2 linked regions of the Caenorhabditis elegans genome follow. The protein of the gene in region 2 purifies or fractionates together with the protein of the main gene of each other region. This does not show direct contact. Each region holds a gene or a part of one and is shown on either strand. Other genes may lie near its edges. The genes, in order: Y54F10BM.3 and C02F12.8.

The links.
Region 1: the proteins of C02F12.8 (region 2) and Y54F10BM.3 fractionate together in Caenorhabditis elegans (co-fractionation; one large-scale study listed by BioGRID). This does not show direct contact.

Annotation. Positions count from the first base shown.
Region 1 is NC_003281.10:2,279,828-2,285,120, reverse strand, and holds the start of Y54F10BM.3 (Tyrosine-protein phosphatase domain-containing protein), read right to left. Parts: upstream 3,097-5,293; 5' UTR 3,036-3,096; coding exon 2,963-3,035; intron 2,027-2,962; coding exon 1,975-2,026; intron 1,923-1,974; coding exon 1,848-1,922; intron 1,325-1,847; coding exon 1,030-1,324; intron 891-1,029; coding exon 737-890; intron 1-736. Other genes in the region: Y54F10BM.22 (Neuropeptide-Like Protein), read right to left, coding at 3,400-3,535, 4,037-4,200.
Region 2 is NC_003284.9:3,689,437-3,694,959, forward strand, and holds C02F12.8 (uncharacterized protein), read right to left. Parts: upstream 3,803-5,523; 5' UTR 3,798-3,802; coding exon 3,696-3,797; intron 3,643-3,695; coding exon 3,391-3,642; intron 3,069-3,390; coding exon 2,559-3,068; intron 2,241-2,558; coding exon 1,771-2,240; intron 1,723-1,770; coding exon 1,415-1,722; intron 1,370-1,414; coding exon 1,110-1,369; intron 1,056-1,109; coding exon 894-1,055; 3' UTR 707-893; downstream 1-706.

The sequences.
Region 1 (5,293 bases), on a different chromosome or scaffold from region 2:
AAAAAATTAATTTCGAAAAAAAAATTTTTTTTCAAAATTTTTGTTTCAAAAACTTTTAAAATTTTCTACGAAACCGATTTGAACGTTTCAGATTAAAAATTGCAAATTCTTGGGTCCCACCACGAAAACCAGAGTACTCCCGGCGGCATTTTCGTGGCGGGACCCAAAATGTGCGGAACCTAGTCATGATGGGTTTTATTTTAAAGGTCTCAATGTGATTATTTTGAATTTGTTAATTATTTCTCAGTTGGTGCAAAAAAAGTCTAAAAATTTAGAAAAAAATTAAAAAAAAAAAAATTTTTTTTTGAGATTTTTGGAAAACATAAAAAATTTTTACAATTTTTTGCTCATTTTTTAATTCAGCGTGTCAAGACTTTCCATTTAACACCCATATTGACTAAGCTCCGTCCACTTTGAAAACTTGGGGACCCAAAACAGGCGAAACCTAGTCATGATGGGTGTTATTTGAAAGCTCTAGGCGTGCTAAATCTGAAAATTCACGCCAAATCGGTTTTGAATTGAAAGTTAGCTCGAGCTTTCAAGAAAATAAAAATTTAAAAAAAAATTTCAAATTTTCAAATTTTATTTTCAAAACTACATAACTCTGCGAATTTTAAAGATATTCGATTGAATATAGTCTTAAAATGAGCGCAATCTTTTTGTGAGTTTAATGTTTAATTTAATAACTTGCAATGTTTAAAGTAAAATTTCTTAAAACCTGATTTTAAAACCATACCTGACTTGCCGTGCCATCCATCTTCCAGCTGATAATCCTGCTCATCCAATGCATTTTCCGTCTTTGGGTCCGAATCTTTATCAATATCAGGGCCCGTTTGTCTTTCCACCCACACTTCATTTTCTCGAAGCTCATTTTGTGGCTTTTTGAATTTCTGAAAAAACAAATTTTTTTACAAAAAAAATTTTCAAAAAAAAATTTTTTTTTCGAAAACCCATAACTTTGTTCATTTTCAAGATTTTTCCTTGATTTTTGACACGTAAATTTTCAAATTTTTTCGGAAAAATCTCTACCTCTTTATTTTTCACGATCACATCCTCCATCGGCAGCAGCTCGACTCCACCCCGTTTCAGCGTCACCTCCTTTACATGTTTCAGCCATTTGGCTGATTCTCTCGGTCTTTTTGCAGGATCCACACCTCCAGCGTTTCGATTTTTCGAAGCCGAAACTTCAGAAACTCGTGCCAGACGCCTTTCCCAAGCCTTTTCCCTTGCCATTTTCTCGTCGCGCCATTGTTGAACTTTCCAGTAGCAATATGCTCCAAATGCTCCAACAAACGCAGATTCCAGGAAAAGTACAACAAGCCAGCTGAAAAATTACAGAAAATTTGCGAAATTATCGATTTTCTTTCGAAATTATCGATTTTTTTCGCGAAATTATCGACTTTTTCGTGAAATTATTGATTTTTTCGCAAGAAAATCGATAATTTCGCGAAATTATCGATTTTTTTCGCGAAATTATCGATTTTCTTGCAAAATTATCGATTTTCTTGCAAAATTATCGATTTTCTTGCGAAATTATCGATTTTCTTGCGAAATTATCGATTTTCTTGCGAAATTATCGATTTTTTCGCGAAATTATCGATTTTCTTGCGAAATTATTGATTTTCTTGCGAAATTATCGATTTTTTTGCGAAATTACTGATTTTCGATAAAAGAAATGACGCAAGTTATCGATTTTTTGAACAAAAAATCAATAAAAATTATTGATTTTTCTTCAAAAATCCGACCAAAAAAATCAATAAAATCAACATAGATTATCGATTTTTCGAAAAAAAAAAACCAATTTTTCGCCGCCGAGCAATTATCGATGTCAAATTTTCACAACTTACACTTCGATTGGAATTAGGTCGAGAATGTCGGTCAGCGAATTAAACTGTTCAGCAGGTGGTGGTTTGGTTGAGGATCTGAAAAAGAGCGGTCATCGGGATAAACTAACGGGACAACGGATAGACTTACACTGGTGGAGTTGTTGAGGTCGGCGGGGCGGGTGTAGGCCAATCGACGAAACCTGGAAAAAATCAATAAATTTTTGTTGAAAAATCGATAATTTCGCGAATAATCGATAAATTATCAAAAATCGATAATTTCGCAATCGCAATGGCCACGTGGCTTTTTTTTACCGTCCTCTCCACGTCATTTTCAAAAAGAAATAAATAACAAACTCCACGTGTTCATCGAAAATATCAAAAATCGATAATTTCGCGAAAAAATCGATAATTTATCGAAAATCAGTAATTACGCAAAAAATCGATAATTTTTTAAAAATCGATAATTTTTTAAAAATCGATAATTTTTTAAAAATCGATAATTTTTTAAAAATCGATAATTTCCTGGAAAATCAATAATTTCGGGAAAAAAATCGATAATTTCGCGAAAAAATCGATAATTTCGCAAGAAAATCTGCCTCTTCCTATATTAAATCCTGAAATTGCATTCTTGACAGAAATAAAAAATAAGGGCAACTTTTCGACACGTGAGAAAATCGATAATTTCGCAAGAAAATCAATAATTTCGCGAAAAATCGATAATTTGGCAAGAAAATCAATAATTTCGCCAAAAATCGATAATTTCGCAAGAAAATCGATATTTTCGCAAGAAAATCGATAATTTCGCCAGAAAATCAATAATTCCGCGAAAAATCGATAATTTCGCGAAAAAATCGATAATTTCCCGAAAATCAATATTTCGCGAAAAAATCAATATTTCGCGAAAAATCGGTAATTTCGCCAGAAAATCGATAATTTCCCGAAAATCAATATTTCCCGAAAAAATCGATAATTTCGCGAAAAAATCGATAATTTCGCAAGAAAATCGATAATTTAGCAAGAAAATCGATATTTCCGCCAGAAAATCGATAATTTCTCAAGAAAATCGATAATTTCCCGAAAAATCCGATAATTTTGTAGAATCGAACCGTATCTTGGCGTCAAACCCCCGTACTTACTTAGCTCATATGGTTCCACGTGGCAGATGCCAAAAATCGATATGGTCACCAATAAAATCGACCACAATTTCATCTTGAATATTGTGAAATAAATTTTTCAATATCGATTTATCGACTTTCGAAAATCAAACGACGTGGTTCCCGACGTGGAATGTTTTTTGGCAATTTTTGAGTTTTTACGTTTTTATTCAATTTTTTAAAAATTTTGTAACTTTTTTAGTTTTTGAGATATTTTGTTCATTTTTGGCTTAAAATGTGCGAAAACTACCCACGTAAAAGATAAAATAAAAATTTTAGAAATTCCGGTAAAAACTACAGTACCCCACAACTTTTCGTGACGAGACCCAAAAAAAAATCAAAAAAAATCAGAAAATCACAAAAATTTATTGTGCGTCGTAGAAAAAAATCATGTCATTTCATAAATCAATAATATCGATTTATTTGTCGTTTGGCGGAGCCGCAAAGCAGTTTGGCGGGAACAGTGAAAACGAGTGGAATGCACTGCAAATCGAGTCTCGCCACGTGGATTCGTGGTGCTCCGCTTTGAAAAATTGCTGAATTCTGTGGATTCTTCTGGAAAAAATTAAAATTTTTGGTTTTAGAAGTTATTTTTGGATTCAGCGTGATTGATTACCCTTATCTATAGGTTTTCAGAGCTCTAGCTCAAAATCTCAAAATTTTGAAATTTGGCTGAGTAGCGACTCAGAACTGCGATACGGAGTCATAGTTTTGAAAAACTAACATTATCATTAAATTTGCCATACTTGGAAACCCAGAATCCTAAATTTTTAGCCATTTGCACTAAAACTGACCAAACTCCGTATCGCAATGGGTCGCTACTCAGCCAATTCTTGAAAATTGAGCTAGAAGGCCCAAAATTTTGGGATAGGGGTAATCAATGACGCTGAATTCAATAAAATTAAAGAAAACATTTAAAACTTGAGATTTCGACCAAAAAAATCGATAATTTGGCGGAATTATTATTTTTAAACAAGTTTTTTTCAAAAAAATTTTTTTTTTAATTTTTCCAAAATTTCAAAAACCTTTCTATTAGCAAAAAATCAATGAACTTACTCAATTTTTGTCTCATTTTTCCTCAAAACTTGATAATCCTCAGCACTCAGGTCATCCGAGTGTACAGAGTTCAACGATGCACCATAATTGATAGGTAGAGTCAGAATTTCAGAAATTTGAATAAAAAATATCAAAAATAATAAGGTTACTGTAGTTTTTCGCATGTTTTTTTGAACTTTTACATAGAGAAAGTGTAAAAAGTTTTTAGGGAAAAACTTGAAAAATCAAGTTTTTAAATACTTTTCTCACAGTCAGCGGGGGGTGGAATTCGTCATAAGACATGATGACGTCATAGGATCAATTTTGATATCTTTTATCAGTTTTTATCAGTTGCTACACGTGAGAAACAATGAAAAATTCCATTGTTTTGATGTTTGGCAAATCTGAATTCGCTGAATTCTTAGTGTACCTGAAAAGGGGTAGAGGGATACATTTTGCACCTAAGCAATGGGTGCAGATTTTTTAAAATCAATTTTAATATAGCGAAAAACTTCAACAAAATCAGTAAAATTAATTTAAGTTTGAAAAAAAAAATTTTGAAAATTTTTTTCCAATTTTTCAAAAAAAAAAACAAAAATTTTTTGGGTCTCTACACGGAAAGTTATGGGGTACTGTAGTTTTACGGGTTCTTGTAAATTCCTATGTTATATTTTATGGAAAAATATTGAGGGTACTATTTAAAACTAATCTAGGCTCAGAATCTTGAAAATTGGCAAAGTTATGGAGTTTTGAAAAAATTGAAAAAAAAATTTTTTCAAAATTTTTTGGGTCCCGCCTTAAAAAGTCTTTTGGTACTGTAGTTTTATGAGTTGCTATGAATTACTGTACTAGATTTTAAAGAAAATCATTTAGAGCGCTATTCAAAATAAATTTGAGCTCAAAATCTTAAAAATTGACAAAGTTATGGAGTTTTGAAAAAAAATCAAAAAAAAATTTTTGTTAAATTTTTGGATCCCGCCACGAAAAGTGTTGTGGTACTGTAGTTTTATAAATTGTTTTAAATTTTATTGTCAGATTTCATAGAAAAATATTTAGAGCTTTAATAAAAATAAATTTGAGTCAAAAATCTTGAAAATTGACAAAGTTATAAAGTTTTGAAAAACAAATATTTTTTCGAAAAAATTTTTGGGTCTTCTCACGAAAAGCATTGGGGTACTGTAGTTTTACGGGTTTTTGTTAACTACAATATTACATTGTATAGGAAAACATTTTGGGCACTATTCAAAACAAATTTGAGCCAAAAATCTTGAGAATTGA
Region 2 (5,523 bases):
GAAGAGACTAAGAGATCCGGATAGAAGAGCCAACTGTTGCGCCTTGTAGTCGACATGATACTACTCAACACCGGCGGTGGATATACGAATGGACGTTGTGCCACTCACCCGGGAGGGGGAGAAACATCGAGACTGCTATATCAGATAATGAGTACGCACACAGCAGTGCACATAGGATACGTTGACAAGACCCGATGAATGTGATGACGGTGAGCATAACGCTGCCGAAATGTGTACGGATTGATTGAAAAATAGATTAAGGGGGCTATCAATTTAGATTTATTGCTTTAATTTTTCAATTTGTTGTAAGCCATAAGGAAAAAATGAGCAAAAGTTGTATCCTCTTCGATAGCGTTTTTTTTTTTCAAAAGATTTCGTCAGCCTAATTTCAAAACATACAGATTGGATAAAATGTTTCAATTTCAAAAATATTTCGTAGACAAAAATAGCTATATTTAACTTCTTCATCTAGTTTCACTTAAGCACGATCTCTTTTGATTTTTTGATTTTGATTTTGATTTTGGGAATTAAATGTTTGAGGTAATAATAAATAATCAACAAAATAATAATGTCCGTCTGTCCAGTTTGCCTAATTTGTTTGTGAAGTCAAAAACGCGTCTCTTGAGTTATTCAACCCTTTCTAAACTTGAATTTAAAATTGGTAGAAGTTTGAAACTGGTTAGAGCCTCTGAAAAGATGAAGAAATACAAGACTAGACATTTTTATTCTAAAAATCTCAATACATAAATTGATTTACCCATAAAGTCAATAAATTAAAATTGAAGACAATGACACGTAATTAAATGGACTGAAAAATACAACTGAATGGTCATGGTTAATCACAGTTAAAACATCTGATCACTGGGTACAATGTGTACAAACAATAACGGAATCTAGAAAAGGTTGAAGAAAATTTCTTCGTAATACTCTAATTTGTCAGTAGAATCGCTGGTGAGACCGGCCAAAAAGCATAGTTCCGGAAGAATAGCTGGCGGCAAGTTCAGCTGAAGTTGCTCGTAGATTGTAATACGCGAGAGACTTTGCGGACGTTGAACCTGTAAATAGTCAGTTTGAGACACTTAAAAGTACCAAAATTCATTAAAACTCACCATTTTGAATGCCAAAATGCGTTTTTCAATAAACTGTAACACTTTGTTCATTTCATTCGAATTTTCTTCCCAAGTTTTCACAAAAGTATCCACCGTTTCATAGAATTTTTGATATGAGAAATTTTCGTGAAAAATTGGACGACCCGATTCTGAAATCTTCTTTGCTCTGTTAGCAATTGCCATTTGAACTGCATGCAGGATTTGGGGACTGATCAACGATGGCGGTGGATTCGAGACGGGTCTTTTTCCTCGCTTCTTTTCTGAAATTGAAAATATTAGTACCAAATGGCGATGATGAATCTCACTTTGGTCTTTCTGTCCTGAGCTTGAGTAGTCACCACCAGCTTGCTCCACATGCTTCTGTCTTTCTCGATATGCTGCTTCCAGTACATCGTCATCAGTTTCCAATTGATTTGCCTTCTGTGCAGCCATAAGGCGCTTTTCTTTTTTTGTCAACTTTTTCCTGGCGTCGGGTAGAGCAATAGTTGATGCTTCTTTGCTATCCTCGTCAATGGTGGAAGCGGCCAAAGTCTGCTGACATTTTTGCAATGGTTTTTCGACTTTTGACAATGGCAGCGGGTAGACGAGTTTTTGTGTTTTCTGTGGTACAAAACTGAAAATTACAGAATTTATCATTTTAGCAGTAATATCAAAAAATCACCATTTCTTCCTGCCCGTCGCCTCCTGCCATGATTCCAAAACGTCATCCGACGTATCCAGATACTTAATGATTTCAGATATTGACGTATCCCTGTCATCATCAACAATCAACGAGTCAGTCGTCATTTCAGATACAGGTTCAGATTTGATTTCAACTACGCTCATGTTATCCGAGTGTTCCAAAGTTTCCGGCTCAATCAGTGTTTTCGAAAGATCAAGGTTCTCCATTATATCATCAACATCATCTAATGGTGGCATTTCAGACATTGTACTGCTATAAGGTTCTGGCTCATTTGCAACACTTTCCGTGTCTACTGAATCCAAGTCGCAATCTTGCTGACCAACAGGCGTCAACGTTCCATAATCTTCGTCTTCCGATTCTTCCCTGACACTATCAGTCATGGGTGATAACGAACCATTTCCAACACTAGATCCATTGATGGGCGGTCTGCTGGACATAGATATGTCGCTCTGAAAAAACCATTTTGTAATATAGCATTATAAATTAGTCAAGTGCTGCGTGAGTGTGTTCAAGTTTAAACATTTGATCATTATCACTTTCAGGAACATTTAATGATAGTTGTCATAAATTTAGGAGTGTGTCTGATATTCATGGTCAGACAAGAAGCGGGTTACTAAAATGGTTTTAGATGCAAACCAGTTAATCTCCCAACTTTTAAATTTTTCATATAACTTCCCTAAAAGCGGTCATGTTCAAATTTTCAAATTCTGGCATACCCAAGCAGCAGTTAAGTTGTTTTTGTTGTAGTCGATAATATTGTTTATTACCTGTCCGGAAGAAAACGATTGTGATGAGCATACTGATGATCCCGATTGTGACATGGAAACGACGCATACAGGTGCGCTGACAACTCGACAATATGCAACTCCATTGTTATCATAAATAATGTCTGGGAATCCTTCGTTGGCAGGTGGACCAGAATATTGACTGTAAGACGGTGATGGAAAGATGGGAGACGAGAATCCATATCCAGAAGGTGGCTTTGAAGTATCAATTTGAGGTGGTGACATTGAATACGATCCTTGCGAAACCATTACAGCTCCGACTGGCATCATGGTTGGTGGAGCTGGCACAAATTGGGGAGGATTGTAATTCTGGGAACCAACAGGCACGTGTGGATGCATAGGCTGGTTTACAATCTGTGGGTGTGCAAATCCTGAATTCGACGCTGCCAAATCCATAGTGTATGGAGGAACAGGTTGCGGAAAGACGTTTGGATTTGATGCAAACTGTGCCGGAGGTGGCATGTAATTACCATGTTGAGCAAATGGGTGTACCTGAAAATTGCAATTGTTTCAAAGTTTTAAAGAAATTCTTATGGCCTTGGGGTTTTTAAACAGTGAAAAACTACATTTCTAAAAATTAAAACTTGTTTACTCCTCTCGATTGAAAAAAAAACCGATTTTTTCCATTAAATCAACGAGTTTCTAAAATCATTAAAAGTTTAATTGTCAGCTTTTAGTTTCGCCGTTCGCTTAATTTTTATTGCAATCTAGTATTCCCATTTCAAAAAATTATCAACGAAATAAGCTTTCAAATTGCCTGAGATTGGAAATTCTCAATATCTCATGAACAAACTTTTCAAATTGAAAAACAAACCTTAAATGAAGCATCCAACGTGCTCACCAAATTGTTCTGATATCCGCAATTTTGATAAGGATTTGGGCACTGATTATTTTGGACGGGAGCGGCGAACTGTTGCTGCATGAGATCATCAACGTCTTTTGAGTTCAACAGAACCTCATTCTCAAAATTCCACAGCGCAATAGGATCATTTGATTCAAAAGCTCTTTGAACGATTTCCCCGTAACTTGGATCCAGACGATGAAGATTATTGTAGGAAAAGAGAATCTGTAAAAAATTATTATATATAAGAATATACAAACGCTCTAAACATTATGTACCTTCTCCAATTGATTTCTTCTTTGAACACTATTCCTGAGAAAGTCCTCATGTACTTCACTCGAGTGTCCTTCGGTTTTCCAGCGAGATCTATCGTTTTGCATAGCTTCTGAACAAAGTTAACATGAAAATTTGTCAGAGTTTAAAACAACTGATAGGTGCAATATTGAGAGCCTGTTAATAATTGAAAATTTAAATTGTAGGAAAAACCGAATAAAAAAAACATATAATTTAGTGCTTACAACATTCAGTTTTACTATTTATTTTATGAGTAAAATTATAACGAATAGAAGCTGGCGGTGTCACATTTCAAAACTAGATCAAAAGATTTGCTGAATTAAAATAAAAAAGAGAAATGTTATAGCTATTTGTTTGTTTTTAACCTACTCTTGTTACCGCAAAAAAACATTGTGAGCATTTTACACAAAATTATATAATTTTTGAATTTCCTTTGCTAGTAATTGTTGGGAAAAATCAAAACAAATTCTTGAAGCTAGATTGCATTCCAAGTAACATGGTTAGTTCAAAACATAGAATTTTATGAGAAATTCAAACTTTGAAAGAATCATGCATCGCGTTGGGGCTCTCGAAAAATAATGTCTAGGTATCTAGATAGCTAGATTCATATCATAGCTATAGATTTAATTTTTGCTTGTAACTACAATTGTGGAAAAATGGGAATATAAGAGTACCATTGAAAAAAATAGCACAATGTATAAATTGCACGGTTGGCATGCAAAATTTTGGTTGGAAATTCAATGAGTAGAGCTAAAAAAGTTTTAGTTTTGCCCAAGGATAAAAAAAAGGAAACCTGACTCAATTTCTGTCAGTGGAATTTCTAATTTGGTTAGTGCATTCTGATTTGGTCAGTGCAATTACTAATTTGGTCAGTGCTTTTCGACTTTGGTCAGTGCTTTTCTATTTTGGTCAGTGCTTTTCTATTTTGGTCAGTGCTTTTCTATTTTGGTCAGTGCATAATTTTAATTTCTAACCTATTATCTGATTGAAAAAAAATTAGGAGGAACGAAGTTGAAAACTGAGGTGAACAAATGAAAGTGAAAAGACGCGCACGCAGGTGGTGGTGCTTAGTGTTTATCGTCACCCACAACAATAACTGGGTGGGTAATATGGTGAGGAAGAGGACTCGTTGGACAGGGCAAAGGGCCCCTCGGCGGATGCCACGCACGCAGCACACAAAACCCCCCTACATTCGTTCGCGCGCACACTCATAGAACACTCACACACACGCACACACACGCTCACATATAGCCAACTGCACCCCCACGTCAACAAAACACAAACACACAAACACGCACACACATGCGCTCACACGACGACACGGCATCCAGAGGCACTAGCGCAGTTAATTTTTGACGCTCTAGACTAACAATGGGACTCTTTTAACTCAATGAACATATGACAAATGTTCACGGATTCTCGTGTGATTGCGCACGAAACAGAGCGTTACGGTGGGCGCAAGGCCGTTACGGAAAATGGTAATGACGGTCATAGGTCCAATTATTATACATATGTGATAGTAAAATGTAAACAAAAACTAGCATGTTCGCAGTAAGTTTCAGAATGTAGAGAAGAAAACAGAAATCTATGTGGAAATATAATCTAGCAATCATCCTGGAACTTATCAAATGCTTTCAATGTACGACAGGTGCTAAAAAATGTAAAAATGTAGCAGAAATTTCACAGAAAAGGTAAACTAAAATCATAAAAGAACTCGCACCCCCAATTTCGCAAGAATAATTGTAAAAAAAAACAGAAGGGAGGTCATGGATATTTTTAGTGCAGCGCGAGTAGATCAAAAAATTTTAATAA